Linked DNA regions of Struthio camelus. The protein of the gene in region 1 purifies or fractionates together with the protein of each later gene. This does not show direct contact. Links are inferred from orthologs where the notes say so. Each region holds a gene or a part of one and is shown in the gene's direction. Other genes may lie near its edges. The genes, in order: SBF1 and MTMR1.

Region 1 (12,162 bases):
ATCCCATCGCTCCCCATCAGCTGTTGATCTTCAAACAGGGTCCTGTGGTTGTAGAAACCAAAATCCTGCTGCCAACACCAGCGACGCAGCCATTAACTTGAAGAATCTGTCTACTCCTCCTCCCATCCTTCCCCCTCACAGGCAAGATTGAGGAGAAAACGACCTGGGCTTCCAGACCCTTGACCACCATTCCCAGAGCTCTGAAGTCCTGTTTGATGGTTTCCAGTTTGCCTTTTGTGTCATTAGCGCCCACATGGAGGAGCAGCAGAGGGTAGTAGTCCGATGCATGGACAAGCCTTGGCAGTCTTTCCACGACATCTCTTATTCGAGCCCCTGGCAGGCAGCAAACCTCTCTGGGCAAGAGGTCCGGTCGGCAGAGAGGTGCCTCTGTCCCCTGCAGCAGGCAGTCACCCACAACAATCACTCGCTGTTTCTTCCGGGAGTTCCTGCACGGCACAGGGTCTGCCAGGCCAGTTGCCTCCCTTGGAGCCATGCCCAGCTCCTCCTTGGCTTGGAGGGTGCTAAACTTGTTCTTCAAGGGTAAGTCTTGAGGAGGAGCAAGAGCCTTTCTCCTTCTACGAGAGGTCACCAGCTTCCAGCTCTCTTCAGCAGTGTTATGATGGACCGTTACACACAGTACAGAGCCCTCCGACAACTCTGCTGCAGTGGGGGCTGGGACTCCTGGAGCTGCACAGCCTCCGAGAACGCCCTGTCCATCTCCTGCTCATCTTCTCGGATGCTACGCAGCCTACTCACTTCCTCCCATAACTCCTTGACCTGACAATATAAGTGATAAAGCACAGCACACCTCACGCAGGAGAGCTGACTGTCAGCCCAGGCCTTGCGGAGAGGCCCCAGGCACTGCCTGCAGCCTGCCACCTGCAGAGCTGCGTCTGCTGTCCGAGGGTCTGTCTGGGTTGAAGCCTCAGCCACAGCCGATGCAGCACCTCCAGCAGCCACGGGGGAACGTGCTCTGTGGCGTGTCATGACCATGCCCGGGGAAGGACACAGTGCTATGGGAAATGAAGGTGCCTTCTTGCCTTCTGGCGCCCTTCTGCACAAACTGCTGCGTCTGTTGGCTGCCTCTGTTCGCTGCGCCCAATTTGTCAAGCAAATTGCTGCAAGGTGGGAAGGAAACGCTGAAAAACTCCCGGGCCGTAACCGGAGTGCCGCAGCGTGCCAGCTGCGGAGGTGCAGGTCCACATCCCGCCTTGGCCCGGCCCCGGAGCCGCGGGAGCTGCGGAAGCCACGGAGCCGGGAGCTGGGGCCGCGCTGGGACGGCCGGACACAGCAAAGCCATCGGTGCTCGACGCAACTGTCGTCGCGCTGGCACCTGCACACGCGGCGGGGCCGGGGCCGGCGGCAGGGCCAGCGGGACGCGGGGAGCAGTGGCTTCCAAAACTGTGGTCGCTTGAGTCCGCCCTAAGGTTTTTAAACCTGAACTTATTTGTCAGGGGCCAGGACAGCAATTTTCCGGGGTTTTAATACCCCTTAGTAGGGAGAAGCAGGAGCTTTGCCGGGGCAGACGGCTGTGTGCTGGGGCTTCGCGTCCGCGGCTCAGCCCGGGGCGCGGGGAAGGGGCGGCGAGCGGGGCGGTGAGGCTTGCGGGTGACACGGCGGTGGGCCGAGCTGCAGGGCAGCGCGGAAACGAGCATCCTGGCGACGAAGCTCAGACTGAACCCATGCTAGTGATTGCCAGGCTGTGTTTAAGGGAAAAAACGCTGTTTTTAACACAGCAGTGTTGTGTTTGTGCACAACACCGAGCTCTTGCTGGCCGAGAGACGGTCCGGATGCTCCAGCCGAAGGGAACCGGCGAGAAGGTGCTGGGAGGAGGCAGCCGGGGCAGGAGGTCGGGGGCGCCCCAGCCTGCACGCAGCATCCTGCCATGGGGGCGCCGGCCCCGGGGAGCGGAGGAAAGGGGGGAAAAACGTCGCGGAGACTCTGAACAGCTCCCCGGCGAGGGGCCGGGGGCCAGGAATGGCTTCGGAGGTGGGTGAGGGACGTGGGGCTGAGCGGCCGAGCTGCGTCTGGGGAAAAAGGGGGATGAGGGGCTGCCGGGCCAGCAGGAGCCACATAATGGCTGGGGGGGCCCTGTCGCTGCCATCCCTGCTGGGGCCATCTCTGCTGGTGCCATCCATCTTGGTGACATCGGCACTAGTCCCGTCCTGTTGGTCCCATCCCTGCCAGGGGCCATCCCTGTCCGTGCCGACCCTGTCCAGGCCATCTCACAGAAGGGCTGAGGTTGGCAGGGACCTCTGGAGATCAGCCAGTCCAACCCCCTGCTCAAGCAGGGTCACCTAGAGCACATTGCACAGGATCACATCCACACGGGTTTTGAAGATCTCCAGGGAAGGAGACTCCACTACCTCTCTGGGCAACCAGTGCCAGTGCTCTGTCACCCTCACAGGAAAGAAGTTTCTCCTCATGCTCAGACAGAACTTCCTGTGCTTCAGTTTGTGCCCGTTGCCTCTTGTCCTGTCACTGGGCACCACGCAGAAGAGACTGGCCCCATCCTCTCGACACCCTCCCCTTCAGATACTTGCACACATTGATGAGATCCCCTCCCAGTCGTTTCTTCTCCAGGCTGAAGAGTCCCAGCCCTCTCAGCCTTTCCTCCTAGGAGAGATGCTCCAGGCCCTTCATCATCTCAGTAGCCCTCCACTGGGCTCTCTCCAGTAGCTCCATGTCTCTCCTGTCCTGGGGAGCCCAGAACTGGACCCAGCACTCCACGTGAGGCCTCCCCAGGGCTGAGGAGAGGGGCAGGATCACCTCCCTCGACCTGCTGCCAACACTCTGCCCAATGCACCCCAGGATGCCTTTGGCCTTCTTGGCCACAAGGGCACATTGCTGCCTCATGCTTCACTTGTTGTCCACCAGCACTCCCAGGTCCTTCTCTGCAGAGCTGCTCTCCAGCAGGTCAGCCCCCAGCCTGTCCTGGGCCAATGGGGGTTATTCCCCCCAGGGGCAGGAGCCTGCACTTGCCTTTGTGGAACTGCATGAGGTTCCTCTCCGCCCAGCTCTCCAGCCTGTCCACGTCCCCCTGAATGGCAGCACAGTCTTCTGGTGTGTCAGCCACTCCCCCCAGTTTAGTAGCATCGGCAACCTTGCTGAGGGTGCACTCTGCGCCTTCATCCAGGTCACTGATGAACACATTGAACAAGACTGGACCCACGACTGACCCCTGGGGGACACCGCTAGCTACAGGCCTCCAAGCAGACTCTGCACCACCGACCACAACCCTCTCAGCTCGGCCATCCAGCCAGTTCTCAATCCACCTCGCCGTCCACTCATCCAACCCACACTTCCTGAGTTTACCTAGGAGGATGTGAGGGGAGACGGTGTCAAAAGCCTTGCTGAAGTCCAGGGAGACAACATCCACTGCTCTGCCCTCCTCTACCCACCCAGTCCTTCCATCACAGGAGGCTAGCAGGTTGGTCAAGCATGATTTCCCTTTGGTGAATCCGTGCGGACTACTCCGGATCACCTTCTTGTCCTCCAGATGCTTAGTGAGGACCTCCAGGATGAGCCGTTCCATCCCCTTTGCAGGGGTGGAGGGGAGGCTGACAACCCTGTAGTTCCCTGGCTCCTCCTCCTTGCCCTTTTGGAAGACTGGGGTGACGTTTGCTTTCTTCCAGTCCTCGGGCACCTCTCCTCATCTCCAGGACCTCTCAAAGATGAGCAAGAGTGGCCTAGCAGTAACATCCAGCAGCTCCCTCTGCACTCGCGGGTGCATCCCATTGGGGCCCATGGATTTGTGGATGTCAAGTTTGCACAAATGATCTCGAACCCGATCCTCCTGCACCAAGGGAGAGTCTTCCTTTCTCCAGACGTTCTCTCTTGTCCCCAGGGTCAGGAATTCCTGAGGACTGGCCTTAGCAGCGAAGACTGAAGCAAGGAAGGCATTCAGTAAATCTGCCTTCTCCGTATCCTTCGTTACCAGGGCCCCCGCCCCATTCAGCAGCGGGCCCACATTTTCCCTAGTCTTCCTTTTGTTCCTGATGTATTTGAAGAAGCCCTTCTTGTTGTCCTTGACATCTCTTGCAAGAGTTAATTGCAAATGGGCCCTTAGCCTTCCTCATTGCAGTCCTGCACACTCTGACAACGTCCCTATACTCCTCCCAAGTGGCCTGTCCCCTTTTCCACATTCTGTAGAGTTTATTCTTCTGTTGGAGTTTTGTCAGGAGTTCCTTGCTCATCCGTGCAGGTCTCCTGCCTGCTTTGCTGCACTTCTTCCTCAGAGGGATGCACCCGTCCGGAGCCTGGAGGAAGTGATGCTTGAATATTAGCTTTAATGCCGATCCCTCCGGTGCCATCGTTCCCGGTGCCGTCGTTCCCAGTGCCGATCCCTCCCGGTGCCGTTGTTCCCAGTGCCAAGCCCCCAGTGCCGTCCCGGCTGCCCCCGGCTCGTGCCTCCCGGCGCCGGCACATCCCGCCCTCGGCTGGTTCCCCGGTTCCATCCTCCTCCCGGCGCTCGCCGTGCGCCGGCCGCGCTCCGTTCCCTCCGGCGAGGCTCCCGGCTCACGGGGCTTGGCCGTGGCGGCGCCGGCTCCGCGCCTGCCCAGGGAAGGGCCCGGCTCCCGGCCGGCGAGTGGGGGCTCGGGATGGGGAAAGCCTCCGAGCGGGAGCCACCCGGGGCCGGGCTGCGGGGCGCGGGTGCCGCTGGTGGGGGGTTTGGCCGTGCCGTGGGTGCCTGGGCCCCGCACCGGGTCGCTGCGCGGGGCTGGGGTCAGGGCCGTGTCTGGCAAGGGGCTCTCGCTCACCCCCGGGCCCAGCCGCAGCCGTAGCGGGGAGGGGGCTCTGCGCACCTGGGGGGCCATGCATGGGGGGGCCGCGCACCGGCGGGGCCATGCACCAGAGGGGTCATGCACCGCGGGGGGCTGTCCACACTATGAGGGGACCGTGCACCATGGGGGTGTGTGCACGTGGGGGGCCGTGCACCGGGGGGTGCTGTGCACACTGTGGGGGGACCGTGCACCGTGGGGGGCTGTGCCCACTGCAAGGGGGCTGTGCACCAGGGGGCTGTGTGCACCTGGGGGGCCGTGCACCGGGGGGTGCTGTGCACACTGTGGGGGGACCGTGCACCGAGGGGGGCTGTGCACACTGCAAGGGGGCTGTGCACCAGGGGGCTGTGTGCACCTGGGGGGCCGTGCACCAGGGGTCTGTTCACATCTGGGGGAACTACGCATAGTGGGGGACCGTGCACTGTAGGGGGCTGTGCACACCTTGGAGGGGCATGCACTATGGGGGCTGTGCACACTGCAAGGGGGCTGTGCACTAGAGGGGCTGTGTGCACCTGGGGGGGGGTGTGCACCATGGGGGGCTGTGCAGCCTTGAGGGGGGCCGTGCACCGTGGGGGTATGCACATCTTTGGGGCCATGTACCATGGGGGGCTGTGCACACCTAGGGAGATCATGCACCACGGGGGACCATGCACCCAGCAGGAGGGGCCATGCACCATGGGGGTGTGTGCACCTGGAGGGGCCGTGCACCGGGGGGGGCTGTGCACACGTGGGGGGACTGGGCATGCCTGACAGGGGCATGCGCAGTGGGGGGCTGTGCACACCCAGGGGACGGTGTGCACAATGGGGAGGGCGCCCAGGCACAGCAGGAGGCTATGAGCAGCCAGGGGACTGTGCACATTGCGGGAGGGGGCCATGCACCGTGGGGGACTGTGCACACCTAGGGGGGCCGTGAAAACCCGGGGGAGCCATGCACACTGGGAGGTGGGGGGGGGGCCATGCACCGTGGGGGGCCGTGCACACCCGGGGGGCCGTGCACACTGGGAGGTGGGGGGGGGGCCATGCACCGTGGGGGCCGTGCATGCCCGGGGGGGGAGGGCCATGCACATCCCGGGGGCTGTGTGCACCTGGGGGGGGCCATGCACCATGGGGTTTGTGCGCATCTGGGGGGGCCATGCACACTGCGGGAGGGCCATGCGCCGTGGGGGGGGGCTGCACACATTCGGGGGGGGGCAATGCACACCTGGTGTGGGGCGTGCACCGCTGAAGGAAGCCATGCATGGTGGGGGGGGACATATACAAGCGGGGGGGGGGGGAGAATCCATGCACACTGGGGGGGGGCGCTGTGCACACCAGGGGCCCAATAATCGGGGGGACCGTGCGCAGGGGGAGGGGAGAGGCCGTGCCTAGCGGGGAGCCGTGCACATCGCGGCGGGGGGGGCATGCACACGGAGCGGGGGGGGCCGCGCACCCCGGGCAGGACGCTGCACCCCGCGGCGGCAGAGCACCGCGCACCCGGGGGCCGCCCCTACGGGACCGGGGGGGGGCGGAGCCGCCTTGGCTCCGCCCCCACGGCCAGCCCCGCCCCGCCCCCGGCCACCAGCCCCGCCCCCTATCCCCGCCCCCTCGCGGCGCGCCCAATGGGGCGGCGGCGGCCCGCCCCCGGCGGCGGCGGCGGCGGCGGCGGCGCAGGCGCAGTGCGGGCGCGGCCGGGCCGGGCCGTGCGAGGCGGCCAAGATGGCGGCGGGCGCGGGGGTGCGCCGCCGCGCGGGGAGGGCCGCGGGCGCCGCGGGGCTATGAACGCGGCGCGACTGGGGGCGCGCCCGGCCTCGCCATGGCCCGCCTCGCCGACTACTTCGTCCTCGTGGGCTACGAGATGGACAAGCGCGGTGAGGGCGCGCGGGGCGAGGCCGCCGCCGCCGCCGGTGGGGGTGGGGGGCGCGACCCGCTGTCACCCGCGGGGGGGGGGGAGGGGCGCCGCGCGCGGCCGTTGGCGCCGCCGCCACGCGCGCACGGCGGGGAGGGGGGAGGGGCCCCCGCGTTGCCACGCGCGCGTGGGGCCGGGCGCCCCCTGCGCTCCCCCCCCCCCGCGCGCTCCCGCGGCGGGGCTCGCGCGCCCGCGTCGCGCGTGGGGCGGCGGCGGCCGGCGGCTCCTCGCGCGCGACCCTGAAGCGTCGCGGTCGCCCCCTTGGCGGCGCGAGCCGCGTCCACGGCGGGGGACAGTGCCGCGCGTGTCCGCCCTCGCCGGCGCGGCGCTGGCCGAGCCGCAGGAGGGCGGAAAGCGGCGCCCCCTCCCCACGCCCGCGGGTGGCCTTCAGGCGCGGAGCGCTGCCTTCCGTCCTCGCCGCCGAGCGGGCTTTCCGCTGAGACACGCGCCTTCCAGGCTCCCTTTCGGCAGGTCTGTTCTCAGGGATGTTGTCCCTTTGTCCTCGGCCTGCCCGTGTCCTTATCCTCGGCGCTGGGGGTTGGCTCTCCTCCCGGGGTGCTTTCTTCTCACCTCTGGCGTTTAGCTGTTCCTGGTGGGAGTGAGCTTCTGTCGGCCTCGGAAACAAGGTTAAGCCTGCACAGAACGAGGAGCGTTTTACGGGAGCCTGTGCGACACGAGGAACGCTTCACAGAACCTGCGCTGAGAGCGTCTGAGCACCGCGTGTTCCCCGAGCAGGAGACCGTTGACCGAACTTGTTAGGACTGATAGAAGGGAATCCTCTTTCACGCACCCCGTGTCTCATTACCCTGCGGTTTTGATTATTACAGGAAGTTGTTGAGGCTGAGAGCTTAGCTGAAATTCTCAGCGGCCGCCTAGCTCTGTGGATGTAAGTGTTTGCGAAGTTGGGTGCTGACACGCTTCAGGATTTCCACACTGATCATCGATCTTGTCTGTCTTTTGTTCCAGAGCAAACCGATCGCCCCTTACGGGACCAGGGGAAGCATTTGGGTAGTGCAGAGTGGTACTACATTGCGCAGTAGAGCTGCGCTGAAAGGGCAGTTTCAGGAGAGCAATTCCAGAGTTTGGTCTGGAGAGTAGAAAGCCTGGTAAAGAGTTTCGGTGTCTTTGTGAGTTGCGTCTGATCACACGGAGTGGGGTTTATTTCGGATGCATTCCCCTGATATTACAGCATGCTGTAGTATCGGACAGTGGTTTTGTCCTGGTGTAGGAGAAGGAACTCTTTTTACCCAGAGCGTCCTCGTGCCGTCTCCAGGTTGGATGTGTGCGCCTTTGAGATCTGTCAAACGATGGTCAGCCCAGGCCTGTGTTGCCTGAGAACAGCTGCTGTGATCTCGGTAGAAATTAACAGGAGACTGGGAAGATGATTTGCAGCTGGACCACCTTTGACTGATTTCTGCGCCTTGTCTCTTGGGCTTCTAAACGTTTTGCTCCGCATCCTTTGCGCAGCTCAGCCTCCCTCATGGAATTATAGTAGCTACTCATATATGCAGCATAAAACTGGTGGTGGTTTCTAACAGTTACTAGCTGATCAGATGTGGCGGGGCTTGTAGAACAGGTGAGCGTTTTGATCGTGTGTTCCTTGTCTTAAGTTTTGGAAAGCTGGGTTTCAGAAGGGAAAAAGGGATGTATAAATGCCATGCACCCTTGGTGTCATTTGAGACTGGTTCTGGGAAGACGGACAGTGCTGTGGGGTTTAGTGGTTGATTTGAGTGGGACATTAGAAAGGAAAGAACTTGCGATTAATTATATTCTTCTGACTTAAGTATTCACTTAAAAAAAAAAAAAATCTGATGCATGTAATATAGGCCACAGAGCTGTCCTGAACTCATTTGTAATTGAGCTGGTACAGATCTTGACAAAACATCCAGTCTTGACCTGAAAATCATTAGTGGTTTTTTTTTGGTAGTATAAAAAAGCACCACCAGCTGAGGACCTTGTCCCAGAAATTAACTGTCCCACTTAAAAGCGTGTTTTATGCCTAGTTTCAGCTTCTGGCCTTGGATTTGAGAGATCCTCAAACCAGAAGATGCGGGCATATTATCATCAGCTTTGCTCCCTCTAAAGTACTTTTAGACTATAGTAGTGTTGTCTCCTCATCAGTGATGTGATTGTAAGTTGCAGAAAACTTCCGAAATTGTTGTTCAGGTGAACAGAATTCTTAGTGAAGTGAGGCTGGAGGTGTGCGGGGTCCGAGGTTTGACACTTGCTTCCCGACCTTGCTGCTGCCGCCGCTTCCGTAGGCCAAACGATGGAATTCTCAGCTTGGTATTTTGGCGCTGCCGCTGGGGACTTGGAGTCCTCGGGGGTCACTTTGCAATGAGGTTTTGTGATTGAGGATGGTTGTCTGGGATAATACATGGCTGTAGTCTACTCCATTTTTATACAAGTCAGGTGTGCTTTTTGCTTCTGGCTGTTGGCAATTTCTTAGCATCGCTCTCAGTCAGATAGTCCATGGCGGGAGGTGCTGAATTCTATCTTGGTTGCACTCAGGCATCAAACAGTCACGTGCCTTAAGCATGTCAAGGCTACCGGATTCGAAGGAGATAGTGTCCAAGAGAGCCTGAGAAACTTCCCCTGGCGAACTTGCATTTTCTTGCTGTTCAGATCACTGAGGAAAAAGTTACCTCAACAGAGTGAAGTATTCAAGAATCAGGGCAGTTGCACACTCTCAACCAAAGAACAAGAATGAAACTTGCCTGAAACCTTGCAAATGGCTGTTCTGGCCAGTGACACCTAAAGCAAAAAGCCTTTGCATCCCAGTTTGCAAGCGCCCAAGTGCTTTCCCAAGCTATGTGAAGACTGAAGTATGAGATGTTCAGAAGCAACGCTTGCGTTTAAACAAATTGCTAAGCCCTCATGAGAACTCGAGAGGATCAGTCTGCTAATGATGCAAAGGTTGCTTGATTTCTTTGTGACTGATTACTTGATTTTGGGGGTCAATCTGGCAGCGTTTATTCCCCACTTCCTGTTGTTCTGTTTTCACGTTCCTCCTCCCTAAAGGGAGCTTAGATAACGTTTGAAGGGAGGGCATGCTTCTCTCATCTGTGAGTGACTAATTGCTTTACTGGTTGGGTTAGTCTTGACAGAGCTGTAACCTGCGTGACAAGCTGCTTCCCAGGCCAATGGAGGCACCTCCCTGCCAACCGTAAACAAAACGGAGCGCATGGCGCTGCTGGGAGAATCTATCACAGAAAGGCCTTTGAGGGTTTGAGCTATGAAAAAATTAGATGGGATCGCTCAAGCAGGGAGGGAGGGAGGGGGCTCTGTTCTGTGTGGATTCCAGATGTGTCTATTTAACAGAGACACAGGAGGCAAGTTTGCATGCAGTGAAGTGCCGTGGTTTCCGAGAATGTCCTATATTAATAGGATTAGTGGTCAGCCAGGGACAGATTTGTGGTTGGGGACAGTGAAAGCAGAAGGTGTGTTAGGATGGTGGAGCTTGAGGTAGCTCTGCGTGATTTCCAGAGGTGTTAAGGTAGCCCAGTGCAGTCAGTTTCATGGGAACAAAAATGAAAGCTTGAGAAAGCAGCTCAGTATTCTCGAGGAGGAGGCAGGAAACGGGGTTTGGCAGAGCCAGCATGAGACTAGAGATGGGGCAATGGTGCAGTCTGGCATGTTCAGAATGTTTGTTTAGGTTTACAGTCAGCATCTGTTCCTGGTGGAGAGCATTATCTTTCTGGAGAGGCCTGCTCTTCCACTTGACATACAATCTTGTGATGCAAAGTCACGATGGCCTCTAAAAACACTGAGTCTAATGGCGTTCTTCTCATCTGGAAGTAAGAGTGAAATGATTGTTAACCGTTTCAAGAAACACGTTTGAATGTGAAACTAACTTCTCCGTGGTACAGTGTGAGATCTTCAAGTTGGACGATGTGATTATGAACTAGGCCAGCAGGCAAAGATTCAGCTGCTTTTCCTCTAGCTCAGTGAAGTCTCTAATTTTGCAAGCCACACGCTAATGTGCCGAGCCGTTGGATTTCTGCCTCTTTGTCAGGCAGGGATTGTGTTCAGTGAAGCAGAATCCTGAAGCGTTACAATGGACTGAATTGTCTCACCAGAAGCTGTGGCTGCCTGATGCTGACTTCCAAACGCTCCAGTCAGTTGTGACTGCAGGCCGCAGCTGCTCTGTGTGCTGAGCCAGTTTTCAGTATCTCTGCATCTGCATGTTTGATCTACTGTAGAGTTTAGTATCACGGGAGACTGCTTGTATGCTTCAGAGACCCCAAATAAATGTATTTGAGCGAATATGCCCCAGCAGAAGGAAATGGATCTTTTCGTATGTGAACGTTTGTCGTATTGTGTCATGATTGTTCACGTTATTCTCTGTAAATGGATGTTTTTAAATCTCTTGGCTCTTATAGTTCTGTTGTTGCTGACAAAGGGCTGCCTAGCAAAGCCAGGACTTCTGGCTGCTTTTACCCCCTGGACCTGAGAGATTTTTCCCTGTGTGTCCCTGGTGGCCTTTTTTAAGAGTCCAGATCTTTGAAAGAATAGCTCAATTTCAAAGTATGCTTAACATGGATGAAGGCCAGTCTTAATTTTGCTGTGTGGGGCACTGGGTGAGGTATGGCCCTTTCTTTGTGGGAGCTCATGATTTAGAAAACACAAATTTCAGAATAAACCTTTAAGATCCTACTGCTGCTTCTATCTGTGTCCGAATTTGCAACTGCCCTTCTAAACGTCTTGCCCTAACGCTCTTTATACGCACTATTTTCCATAAGCATGTTCTGTACCTTGGTTTTTGGTGGCCTCTTTAGCTGTTGGAGTGGGAAGGCAAAATTCAGATTCCAGGGCTTGACACTAGAGGAAAAAAATCTTAATTTAAAGGGCTAGCTCTAAACCAGAATTGTTAATTTGCGTGTGTTTATTCTTACCTATCCTAATACTTTTCCATAACAGTTGTTCAGGTTGTTGCTTAAGCCCTCTGAACTTGTGTTCCTGTTTGCTTTTGTGCCTAAAAGGATTTGTTTAATTCTCATTCACAAAAGTCATTGCAGAGTAAATCTGCAGGTAGTCTATGTAAGGAAGATTTGTGATCAGGTTAATTTTATGGGTGCATTAGGGCTCTGATGGATGGAAACCCTCCTGCCACACCTATTGTAGCCTGATCCAAAAAGGCAGATGGCAGTTGCCACCAAAGGAATGAAAAGGTTGAGAAGGGTACAGTTTTTCTGGGTGGGGTGAGCGTGGTAGATGGCTGCTATGGAGGGTGATAAGACTGTGCAGAGACCTGAAGACCTCAGTTGAGCTACTAAGCTCTTTGTATTTCCTTTCAGTAATCCAGACTGTTATGTCCTGCTGGATTTAGATTACTCTTACCGTACTGAAGTTTAGTTCTTTCAGAACGTCTTGCTGCTCCTGCAGTCGGGCCTTGGTCAAATTTGGACATGTAATTTTCATTTTTGAGCTTCTGTAGGAGTTATGGGCAGGTGTTGAGAGGCAAACTGCCTCAGTGTTTGTTGCCGTCGTCTTTCT
Region 2 (12,292 bases), on another chromosome or scaffold:
TACAATGTAAAGAAAACTTGTCTTTTTGTGCTAGTTTCCTACAGCCTTTGAATTCAATGAGCAGTTCTTGATTACAATCCTGGATCACTTGTACAGCTGCCGGTTTGGTACTTTCTTGTACAACAGTGAATCTGTTAGAGAAAAAGAGGTCAGTCAAACTGATTGTTTAATTGCATTGCTGTCTTGACTCTAGATGATTACAGAAAGCTTCAGTTACATTCCTTGTGCCACAGTGTTTTTGAACTGTCTTTTTCCTGGTTGTGGGGTAGTTGAACAGTAACTTGTTTGGTTTTGGTAGCTTAAAGACTCTGCAATCACTAAAACACTCTTCAAGAACTATTTTTGGAATATTTCTAATACAGTAACTTATTATGCGTCTATTTGAATCAGAGGTCTATTATTTTCAGAATGTAACCCTGGCTTCTGTGATAGACTTGCTAATTCAGTGTGAATGTTTACAGTTTGTGTTTCATTTTCATTTTAGAAAGTGACTGAGAAAACATTGTCATTGTGGTCTTTGATAAACAGTGAAAAATCTAAATTCACCAATCCTTTTTATACTAAAGAGCTAAATCGAGCACTCTATCCAGTAGCCAGTATGCGTCACCTAGAACTTTGGGTCAATTATTACATCAGATGGAACCCAAGAATTCGGCAACAAGTAAGTGAACCATCTAAAATGTATGAAAGGCTTTTAGACTTTGGAAATAGGATTATATTTCATGAGTGTAACTTGTAGGTTAATACCTGTAATCTGTTTGGATTTCTTAATATATTTGTGAGGATAGGAGAGAAATGTGAAAATGATTATTTGGTCCCATTCTCTGACATCGCCCAACTCTTTTCCAGAACATTGAGCTTATTTCACTGCTTAGTATGAAGTCATCTTTGAGAACTGCTCCGGGGGAGGGGAGGGGCATTTTTAAGAGCATTTAATGATACGAAAAGATGAATAACAATGCTGAGAAATAGTTTACTGATCACTGGAGAGTTAGTATTGGCATCACAAGCACACTTGTCACATTTGCCTAATATGTCTCCTTTTTCCAGGATAATGTAAAAAATCTTTTACAAGTTAGGATGATCTGTGCAGTGTTCTTAGGATAACTGAGAATGCCATTTGTATTGGTAGCTTATGGCAAGGTGTTTTTTTTTTTTTTGCTAGAACTTGGACCTGAATTGTTTACACAGAGTAAGCACTGGATGAATTCTCTTCTTAATAAGACAAGTGGATAAGATTGGAAACCCAGGGCAGCTTTTATCAAATAAATAGTTCAGTTTTGTGCATTTTAATTTTTAATTGATATACGGGCACTTGTTTTTTTTTTTTTTTGTTACAAACTTGCTAAAAATCTAGGCAGCGTAGCATGTAAAGATACAGCATACAAAGACTTATTTATCCTTCTTAATAAGTTGTAGAGTTCTGAGTAGGAGAAGAAGAAAGAGGAGCAATTTCCTTGACAGAAACGGTGTTCACAGTCCAGGCCCTGGAATGAATTGGGAGTTACCAAGCAATGCAGTTCCTTTTCTGTAGTTGCTCTCCTGCAATGTTTACAGAGCTCTAGAGGCTGGAAGAAATCCAGACAGTATACTCTATTTTCTTACAAGTATGTTGCCAGTTTTAATTTGAAGTTCTCATTTTAAAGCTTTTGTTGCTTGATGTGAAAGATGGTGGCATTTTGCAAGAGGTGAAACCAAAGATTTCTTTTAGAAGGTGAAGGATTGTAGGGCATGCAGATTAGTTGTAAAACTGCTTTAAAATGCTCTTTGCCATTTTTCAGGACAGGTGTTTGCCAGTAGAAGCTTCCATTTAGAAATGCAAATCCATGTGACAGTCTTCTGTTGCTTCTGCCAAATTTGGGTCCTTTGTTTTTCCACCATTTTTATACATAAAAAATTCAGTGAGATTTCTTCTGTTGCACATAAGTGAAGATGAAGCATTATGTTTTTAAGTGACTAAATAGGCTGACCCATGGCCTGAAACAACTTTTTGGGATGGACCTTACTTAGTGTCATTACTTAGAAGCATGTTGGGCGTCAGACTTGGACTAAGGAAGAATCTGGTCTGTTACTTGCAACCTCATTAACCTTACATCTCCAGTTATCTTACTACATTCAATCATTGAAGCAGCTGTAGAAGTTGGATCCATATTCGTTGCCTGCCTTAGCTGAGGCTCATATTGAAAGGTGTGCCTAAAAGGCATTGGTTTACCTGTTTTTTGGACTGGTAGAGGGTTTAAGTTTGCTGCTGAAACTGTACTGCTGATAAAATTAAGCTACAAGCACTTCTGTGTGAAACAGCAGCAGCTCCTTGAGAGAGAGAAAACAGCTGACGGTAACTTAAGGCTCTGTATCTGTCTGGGACACTTGTAACGTTTCTTCTCCATTCTGTCTATCTGTGAAAAGAAATCTAAGTTGAATAGAAATAGTTAAGCTGCTCTTGATGTGAATAATCTTCTGAAAGCTACAGCATTGACTTCTTTTAAAGACATTCAAGTTTACTTGTGGATTTCACTAATAAAAAGTATTGCATTTGATTTATTTATACATAGTTGCAAAGTCGCTATTGAAATCTGAAACACCATCAGTACCGGAAGTTATTTAATCTGAAGGCATAGATTTTATCTTAGTCTGATCAGCGTAGCTAAAATCACCAGTCCGGCTAAACTGTTTTTAGAGAGAAGGTGAGGCATCTAACCTCTAGAATTTAATCTGCTCATAAGAAGAGAAAAGCTGAAGACTAGGTGTTCATACCTATTTTGAACAGGATACTAGGTAATAAGAAAACAATCTGTATGCTTCAGGAACAAGTCGTGCTGGTGGATTGATTTTTTTTTTTTTTTTTTTGAGGAAGGAAGAACTATTTTATGTGAAGCAAGCTTTTTTTTGGATCACAAAAATTTGACACAGAGGGCTCAAATATAATGCTCTTGCATTGTAGAAATAGATATTTCTATTTGGCTACCCCTTGTTAGATATGTCAGAAATAGCAAGTATGGGATGGAACCCTAACTGTATGGAAGTAGCTAGACTAAAATGATAAAAGACTAATTTGGGTCTCTTTCTAGCAGCCAAATCCAGTGGAGCAGCGTTACATGGAGCTCCTTGCATTACGTGATGATTATATGAGGAGACTTGAAGAACTACAGATCACAAATAATTCTAAAATACCCAATTCATCAGCCTCATCAGCATCTTCCTCGCAAATGATGTCCCAAGTACAAACACATTTTTGAAGAAAATGTTGGCTTCTTTCTACAGTGTAATAGCAAGAGAGGTGATTAACAAGGAGGCGTAGTATAAAGACAAATGTTTTAATGCCTTACATTGGATTGTGACATTGGATTGTGTCCTAACACAAAATATTTTAGACTGCCTTCATTTAAGGAGGACTTAAAAACACACAAAACCAACTCTTTAAATATGTGCCTTTCGGAACCTGTGGATTGGGAATGTTAATAACCAACTTCTAGTTATGGAGTGCTTAGACTTATTTTGGAAAGTCTGGTACAATTAAAATGAAATTGATTTATTGTTTTTTCTAAGAATGCTTTAGTTTATGACACTTAGGTCATATTCCTGTAAGGAAATTCATGCTTGATCTTACATGTTGTGAATAAACATGCTAATGTCAATAGGAATATTCACATTGTGTAAAATTAGGTATGTGTGTAATCCTTTTAGGAATAAGACTGTGGCCTTGAGACAAAAATAATTTATATCTTAAGATTTCAAACGGAAGTGTTGAAATGTTCTAGTTACCTGAGGATCCCAATTTCTGTTTTAAATGAAAACGTGGAAGGAATTTCTCTATACTTCTAAGTAAACAGTTCAGATTGCTCAGTAGGTATCAATCCAAGAAAAATCTAATTTTTATTTTTTAAACATGCAGATTGAACTGGATTCTGAGAAGTCATATTTTGGTTAACTGCTGAGCCTTACAGTATACTACAGATTATCAGTGTTGGCTGTATTGGTTCTGTGGATTCTTACAGAATAAGAATGGTTTCCTAAAAAAGCTTATATAATTTAAAAAAGACCCACAGGGACGTTGCTTAAATATCCAACAAGAGCAATTGTCTTAAAGCTTGTGTATGGCTTCTAAAACTAAATGTGCCTATTTAGAGCAGCTTTTATACCAAAGTAGGCAAAAATTCTCGGTTACAAATACTGTTAAACTTATAAATATATAGCTTACTGTTTAATGTATATTTAGCTTTGGTTAATGAATTTATTCTTAAGTATTTAAAGGGACTTCAGTATACAGGATTTGCATATAGTATGTGCACTTACATTGAATCTTTCAGTGAATTCTGGCTTGAAGCCTTCATTTCAGAGGCTTCTTGTAAACCTTTCTAATTTGCTCCTTTCAGGTATTTTTAATAGTTGCAAGCACTTATGACTGCACAAACCTTGCTACTTGATATGTAATTAATGTTTTGCATATTCTCAGAATTTTAATGATATTCAGGCAATCCAGGAAATCTTGCCATTCAGAATATGTAGAGGACTCTAATATTGTTATTTTAAAGGAAAGGTTTTGATGCTTGAGGCTTCGATCATTGTAAATTATTGTACATGTGAGTTTTGATCTGCAAAATATAATAGGATTATGTATAAATTTAAGTTTTGTGCAAGTGTATATATAATATAGTTTATTAGAAATTCTCCAGGTTTATGAAGTGTAAATATTTTGCTTATGAAACTAAATTTAAAGCTATAGTTCCATAAAGTAAGTCAAAGTTTAGAGGACACCTGAATATTTTTAGAAACAGTATTTTTTCAAAGAAATAGATTTACCACCTCTTTAATTCAGTATATACACTGAATTGCACTATTTTTTCAGGGACGTTCAGAAGATACTGCGTGTGTGTTTTCTAAATGCACATGACTTATACACACTTATTTTTGTCCTCTAAATCTCGTTCTCCCTTGGATGTTTTTCAGTGTTTCCAAAGTAACAGCATTTAATCTTGTAATCCCAAAATCTTGGTATGTTAAATGGGATGCGTTGCATCTGATGAAGAATGATACTCAATTGATAATGGTAAACTTTAACTTTACTACGTTTTGAAAACGGCATACTCTGGTATATTTGCCTTCCACTTGCTTCTGGCCTATAAAAAGGAAAAAAAAAAGCTAATTTTATTGAAATATTTGAAGTTTCTGTATCTCAGTTGAGTGCACTGATGTCATCTCTGAGCAGTATGGAGGAGTGCAGAAAATCTAACAGTTTTTACTGTGTAAATGCTACCTGATAGCCCATTGCATTTGTGAAAGTGTAACATTTGAAAGGATTTTTTTTTCCCCACTTCATTGCCTATATACTGTTCTTCATATTACCGGTTCAGCTGAATTTCATTCTTTGAAAATCTAACATAGCTATGTGTGCGCTTGGATTTTTTCAAGTCAATGAATAAAATATTTGTTTTAATCCTATTAAAAATTGTGATATTAATTAGAAAAATGCTGGTGTTCTTTCTGGGAAGTGCTGCCTGTGCAGTTACTGTGACTGCTGGCGTACAGGGGTCACCGGTGGTAGGAAGCTGTCCCCGCTCGCCGCGGCGGGGCCGGTACCGGGCCCCCCCGCCCCAGCCCCCTTCACAGCCGCGGTCGGGTGCGCTGCGCGTAGCCGGTAACTCGGTAAGGGCAGTTATTCCTGTTGTAGCAGAGCGTAAAAACTGGAAGGCGTTTGAGGGGGTGAAGGAGAAAGGTGGGTGTGGGGGGGGGCCAGAACTGGGGTGCCAAGCTGCGGGTGCCTGACACCTGCTGGGAAATACTGAGGTGCAGACCTCCCCGTTTCCGCGTTTTTGCTCCCGTGGGGCGCTGGGCCTTCGCTACTTGTTTCGAAAGCTGCCGCTGAATGCCTGGCGTGGCGCCCCTCCGCTGGGCACCCGCGGTGCGCCCCCTCCGCGGCTCCTGTCAGACGGGGCCGGCGGTGCGCTGACTCTTTATTTCTGGTTTTCCGAGCGTGTCGCGATGTTTGGCAGCTCGAGCCTGACAAGCGGCGGCGGCGCCGCCGGCCCCCCGCCCTCCGCCCCCGCCAGGCCCGCGGGCGGGCGCCCTTCCGCCACCGGAAAAGCGCTCGGCTCCTTCGTCGCTGCGGAGGAGTCGCTCGCTCCCCGTCGGCGCCGCGTCGGGGGCCGAGGCGCGGCCGGTCCCGCGCGGCGGGGCAGCCCCCGCCCGGCGCCCTCCGCGCGCCGCCGCTGAGGCCCGGCCCGGCCCGGCGGCGCCGCCCTCCCCCGCCGCGCGGGGCCGCTGCCGCCCTCGCGGCGCCGCGGAGGCCTGTGGGTAGCAGCGTCGCCGCCGCCGCCAGGTGACAGCTCGGGCCGCGGCCGGGGCCCGCGCGGGCCGGGCCGGGCCGGACCGGACCCGCCGGTTGCAGCAGGGCGAGCGGGCCAGCCAGCCCCGGTGCCGGCAGCATGGAGTGGGCGGCGGCGGCCGGGCCGGCCCTGGAGGGCGGCGGCGTGAGCCGGCGAGCCGTGCGGGCGGCGGGGCCGCGGCAGGCCAGCGCCGAGACGCTGGACAGGTGAGCGGCGGCGGCGGCCCGGCCCGGCCCGGCGCGGGGCGCTGCGGGTGGGGGCGGCGGGCGGCGGCGGCGGCTCCGCGCCCCTGCGCGCCCCGGCCTGGGCGGCGGCGGCGGCCTCCCGCCGCCTCCTCGGGAGCTGGAAGCATCGCTGAAGATGGAGCGGCCGCGGGCGCTTCCAGCGGCCCCGCCGAGGCTGGCGGCGCTACCAGGCTCCCTCAGCCGATGACGCCGTTTGGTAACCGAAAATCCGGTTTTTTTTTTCTTTCTTTGTTTTTTTTAAAACAACCACGCAAGCACAGGGCGGATTTTCCTCTGCGAGTGAGCTGGTTCTTGTAAAAGTTTCCTGCTTGCGGTACTGTAGGTCGGGTTTGTTTGGTTTTTTTTGGTGTGTGATTGGCGTCATTGTTTTTGTGCAGAGTGAGGCTGCCTTCAGGATTTTGGTTAGGGTTTTTTTTTCGGGAGTACTTTGACTTATCTTCGTTATGTCAAACGAGACCGTTCTCAGGGTTTAGAAGTATTTTAATTTTTTGTTTCTGAAGTGCAAGTGTATGTTTCATCTACAGATGGATAAGGGCCTTAAATCAGGCGTTTTTCGACCCCAGCGGTAGGTCGGTTCTTTTGCGGATGTGTAGGTCTTCCGCGCTCGGTGCAAGTTGGGTTTTCTGTTGGCTTCAGGTTGGGGGGTTTCGCCAGTAAATACCTGCTCAGGAGTCTGGTGCCAGGTGTTACTGTATCTAACTCAGAGCACCTAAAGATTAGAGTAACTTCTTATGTAGAAATTTCTCTTTGGAGACAGCCTTCAGAGTTTAATTTAAAAATCCTTAAACGAGGATTAGAAGCAAACTGAAACGTCGCCTAATTTAAGCAAAAAGAAAACATATTTTATTTAAGAGTTGGTACCACATTCCACTCTCCATATTTCTCCATCTTCGCTCGCTTTCCTGTTAGGAGAAGCCAGGTGTTTCACGTGGCTCTAGTGAAGGTGTAAATCAGATGTCCGTCTTCTGTCACTAAGTTTTCCATATTTTTGTTCCTTGCTAATGTACTTTTTCATCTTCCCTCTTAATTTTCACCTTCTCTTTCTCTCCTTCTGATCTTCTTGTTACACCCTAGAAAAGTTATAATGATGGTGTATTATAATGTAATTTATTTATTTACCATTATGGCTGTACCAGGATAAACTAGTGTGCATGATGATGGATAAACTAGAATGAAAAGATATATACTGGTATGTTTCCCACTTCACAGATTGTAATAATGCCATATTGGTATGAGTACACTGATCACAGGGTGTGTAAGCGCTTTCACATTAGTTTTCCTAGTCATGTTAACTGTTTATCTAGTGATTCCTAGTGAAAACAAGTTACAGTAAAAATAAATCTTTTTCAAAAATAAGAAGTAAATACATAGCTGGAAACAAACTTTGGCCAACCCAGTAGACAGTAGAAATTCAGCAGTATGAGGGAAGGAGAAGTAAAGGAGATCAGAAAAGGATTACTGTAAACTTCTAGCTTCTGCGTTCTTTTGCAAAACATGAGGGAAGGTTTCTCTAAATGAAGCTGAAATCCAGTTCAGCACTGCCCTCAGATTTGTGTTCAAGTAGGAATGTAATAGACATTTTAATAACAAAAAACATTTTATGAACTGGTACTGAGCAGGGTTTTGCAGGTGGGGAGAAAAATATTAAAATTTTTGTTGTTAGAGTTCTTGGAGTTTTTTGTTTCGGGTGTGATTTGTTGTTTTTGCTACATGCACGGTCAATTCATACCTACCTTGTCCTAGCAGAGTCAATGTGTTAAGACCAGACCTCTAGTTAATTTGTAATTTGTCATCTTATACCAGTATCACACCCTCTTAACATCCCAGTTGTAGCTGTTCTGTGTTGTGTATGTTCATGGCGTTGTAGTTGTTCACTTCAGTGTCCCAAGTGCTCCCAAAATGTATCACCTCAAATTAATTACAATTCTACTGTTAGATGTCTTGTCTTTAGGCTTCTTGTGAACACGCCACATTGCAGAATTCATTGCTGTGGCATGGGAAGGCCCATCATAAAGATTTTTCTGAGATTATTTGATGAATACCAAAAGGAAATATGGCTAAATAGAAATTGCTGTTTAGAAAATATGTATTTTCTATGTGTAATATTACTTACATAGAATACTTCTAAACAACACTAGAGTAGCTTACGTTTTTAAAGATTAGCCCAGAGTTGTTATATTTTAAAGAGAATTTCTTGACTAACAACAGTGGGAAAAGTAAGGAGTTTTTTTACAGTATTACATGATCAAATTCATTCCATGTATGGCTTTAAGAAAAAAAATATATATGTATCAATGTTGAACAAGTTACGCTGGGTAAGGAGACAACATTTTTATACGTTTCTAGGACCCTAGCCATACTTTGGACCTATTGACAGCTCTATGCCTCAATAAGTTCTAGTAAAATTAAATGATTTCTCTAATTTGATCAGCAAAATAGTTGTGTTCTGCCTACTGACATCGTAAAAATCAGAAAGCTGATTTTTATGACCTTAGTGATCATTTATGGTCTTGTTCTTTAGTTATGCTCAGTTGGTATACTGTCGTCAACAAAAATTTTGAGTTATTGCTAAATAATTTGAAATATTCTGTTTTTGTAGCCCTACTGGATCACATGTTGAATGGTGTAAACAGCTGATAGCTGCAACCATTTCTAGTCAGATTTCAGGGTCTGTCCCATCAGAAGGAGTGTCCAGAGACTACAGGGTAAGTGACCTGAGGGGTGCAGATTGGCTTATTTATGTTAAAGGAGGGAATGATCAGGAAATTCCTTGCTACCTTGATTGTCGGGTGGTAAGTACGTAAGTGATATGTGAATGTTCCAAAACTAGAAGCGTTTCATGACGTTTAGGAATCTTTAGCAACTGTTCTCTGCTTACGTGCATAGTCTAGAGTAGTGGCATTGAATTCTACAGAATAAAATAAAATAGAGAAAATTAAAAGTCAATATTTTACATAAAACAGCAAAAGTGAGTTGTTGTTCCTTTGCATTATTACATAGAAGTTTTCAGTAAGATAGATTAATAACTGGAGATTGAAATGTTTTCTTTATTCTAAATGATGCACGGTACAATTTAGCTTTTCAGATTTCACCAAAAAAAGAATGTCTTTGCTACTCTGCAAAGAACAATATGGCTTCTTTTTTGCCTTATATAAGGGATTTCACCAGAGACAGACAAGTTAACACCAAAACCAAAGAGCGTACCTTTTTTTCTTACCCTCCCAGCAACATTTCTATCACTGAGGTAATATTGTGCAGTATGGTTAACCTGATAGGATTCGTTACGTTTTTTACCCGTCCTCTTTCAGGCTCTTTTACTGTTTGCTGTATATGCAGAAAGCCAGCCTGGAACTATCAAGAGTAGAGCATCATCAGTTTTCCTCCTCTTATAAATGGGCAGAAGTCTCACCTGCGTTTCAAGTCCCTTTAAGAAACCCAGGCTGCTATTATTTAGACCACAAAATGTACTATCCTTTTTCTTCCTAGTGTTGACCTATCGTTTTATGATCTTCATGCAAAATGGGCAAATAAAATTTGTGTCTTCGGCTTTTAACTAGGGTATAATTATTTACTAAGCTCTCTGTGTTTGAAAAGTTTGGATGTTGTCTAGAGAGGGCGTATTTTGACTTCTGCGATTGCAGGTCAAATTCAGCTCCAGCCTGAAGATGAATCCACTAAGTGTATTTGATCTTAGTCTGTTTAAGAATTCACCTCACAGAGATTGTCACTATATTGGCACAGTCAGCAGCTTATGCTCGTAAAAAAGGGTAGCTCTTCCATGCTATGGCAGCTGAATTGCAAGTGCCTGCTCTCGGTCAAGGCTAATGTCTTTGATAAAACATTGTGGGAAACCTTGCGTTACAGCTGCCTATGTTGTTTTTGCCCTGTAGATCAAGGACTTCATTTTAGTAAACTCTTAAGTTTGGTATTGAGTTTATCTTCTGAGTCATAATGCGTTCCTCTGGAGTAGAGAGTGCTTTTTTATTCTAAATAATCTGCTTCTCTCGTTTTGGATGTTACTTAAGAGGAATAAATCTTTTGAGGCCTAATTAAAAACTTTTAACTCTGTTTTATTCTCTCTTTCTTAGAAATGAAAGAAAAGGGTTGAACCTTTTGGAATTCCAAATTTTTTGTGAATAAATTGTATTTAGCTTTTTTCATTGGTATGATTTTAAACTCCTATATTTGTGTATAATACCATGGAATTTTTTGCCTTTTACATTCAGGATGGGTGTGTTGTAGTGTATTGTGCTTTAGGAAAGGATTTCCTTTGCACTTAGCTTCTGCAGAAGTTCAGTGCTGCTATCAGTTGCTTAGGCCGTACCACTGACATGATGGGTTTACATATTTCCAGAAGATCTCTTCACCGCTGCACACTCAGTGTTAAGAAAAACCACCAAACCCTAATACGTAGGAAAGAGGGGAATAAAACTCCTGGACACCAGCTAAAACTAAGAAAAATGCAGGAAGATGCTAAATACATTTTCATGTGTAGATACTAGACCTTCAAAGACTTTAATTATTCAGCAGTTCTGTTTTCTTCTTTGAGAAAGTACTGCTAATCACGCCAAGTAATATGGATTTGTGTATGACTTTATGTCACAGTGAGACTACGATGGATTTCTCCCATAATTTGGGTAATATATCCAGCTGTATCTTGTACTTTTTGGCAGATGATTAATGTCTATATTTAGAGTGTTTATTTCTTGTGGTGTTTTGAAACAATGGAAGAGATTTTTATTTTCATCATCCCACTTAAAATATTAGCGATCAAGTTATTGGCATTGCCAAGCATTTCAAGAAATTAATGCTGAAGCTAATTTTCCTGAAAATTTTTCTGTCTCTTGTTTAATATGTGTGTACGTTCTTGATATGGAAGTCTTTAACTTCATTATTAATGTGGAATTCATGCATAAAGAGATATTCCAAAATGCACGTTTGTACAGTTTCATTTGAGACGTCTTTCCCTCTTAATGCACACTTGATCAATATTCTGTGTCTTGGTTACCTTTGTTTACATCCAGTTGTTGCATTTAGAGAATATCTTGCATCAACTCAGAAGCTTCAAGTAGAAAGGTCCTTTTTTTGTTTTATCTTTTTTTTTTAAATTTTCAATCAATATGTTTGCAAAAACAAGTAAATATATAGATTCTTTTATCTCGTGGTGGCTTCTGTGTTACTCATTTCAGAAACTTAATTCACCAGAATGTATCTGGGGAGAAAAAAATCAAAAGGAAGCAAAGAGGCTACAAACAGAGTAGTCAATACTGGAGAACATAGAACTAGCTCTTGCTTGCTAATCTTGGTGTAACATGATTTAACTGTGGACTCTGATGTGTATATCTTCTCTGACAGACAGCCTGGGGAAAATTATTGAACGAGTACTTCATATTAATGGAAATTGCGCAGTTTATGATAGCTGAATATAGACACCTTCGGAGAAAAAACGTTGAGAAGGGTTGTAGCTATCCTTGTTTTGGCATTTGAATCTAAAATATGCAGTGATTATATTTCATAGTTATTATTGCAGGCTTATTATATTTTGCCTGGAAGGATTACCATACTCTTCTCTTTTCACAATAGCACATTCTAACTGGATAAAAGGATGAATAGGAGTAAATTTTTCAAAAGAACTTGGCTTTTGTTTCATCACTAAAACGAAGTGGCCAGATTGCTTTCAGAGCCAAACAGTTCTGCAAATGGGAGCTAGTAGATCTATATAGT

The links.
Region 2: the proteins of SBF1 (region 1) and MTMR1 purify together in Homo sapiens (affinity purification with mass spectrometry; 4 studies listed by BioGRID and IntAct, with this or other methods). This does not show direct contact. The link is inferred for Struthio camelus from reciprocal best matches to the Homo sapiens genes SBF1 and MTMR1.

Annotation. Positions count from the first base shown.
Region 1 is NC_090942.1:787,603-799,764, forward strand, and holds the start of SBF1 (myotubularin-related protein 5), read left to right. Parts: upstream 1-6,478; 5' UTR 6,479-6,573; coding exon 6,574-6,628; intron 6,629-7,236; exon of another isoform or gene 7,237-7,547; intron 7,548-12,162. UniProt on the Homo sapiens protein: Acts as an adapter for the phosphatase MTMR2 to regulate MTMR2 catalytic activity and subcellular location. Promotes the exchange of GDP to GTP, converting inactive GDP-bound Rab proteins into their active GTP-bound form.
Region 2 is NC_090952.1:13,544,660-13,556,951, reverse strand, and holds the start of MTMR1 (myotubularin-related protein 1), read left to right. Parts: upstream 1-6,377; 5' UTR 6,378-6,422; coding exon 6,423-6,529; intron 6,530-6,977; exon of another isoform or gene 6,978-7,077; coding exon of another isoform or gene 7,078-7,133; intron 7,134-9,167; coding exon 9,168-9,273; intron 9,274-12,292. Other genes in the region: MTM1 (myotubularin), read left to right, coding at 35-148, 485-661, 3,069-3,236. UniProt on the Homo sapiens protein: Lipid phosphatase that specifically dephosphorylates the D-3 position of phosphatidylinositol 3-phosphate, generating phosphatidylinositol. Could also dephosphorylate phosphatidylinositol 3,5-bisphosphate to produce phosphatidylinositol 5-phosphate.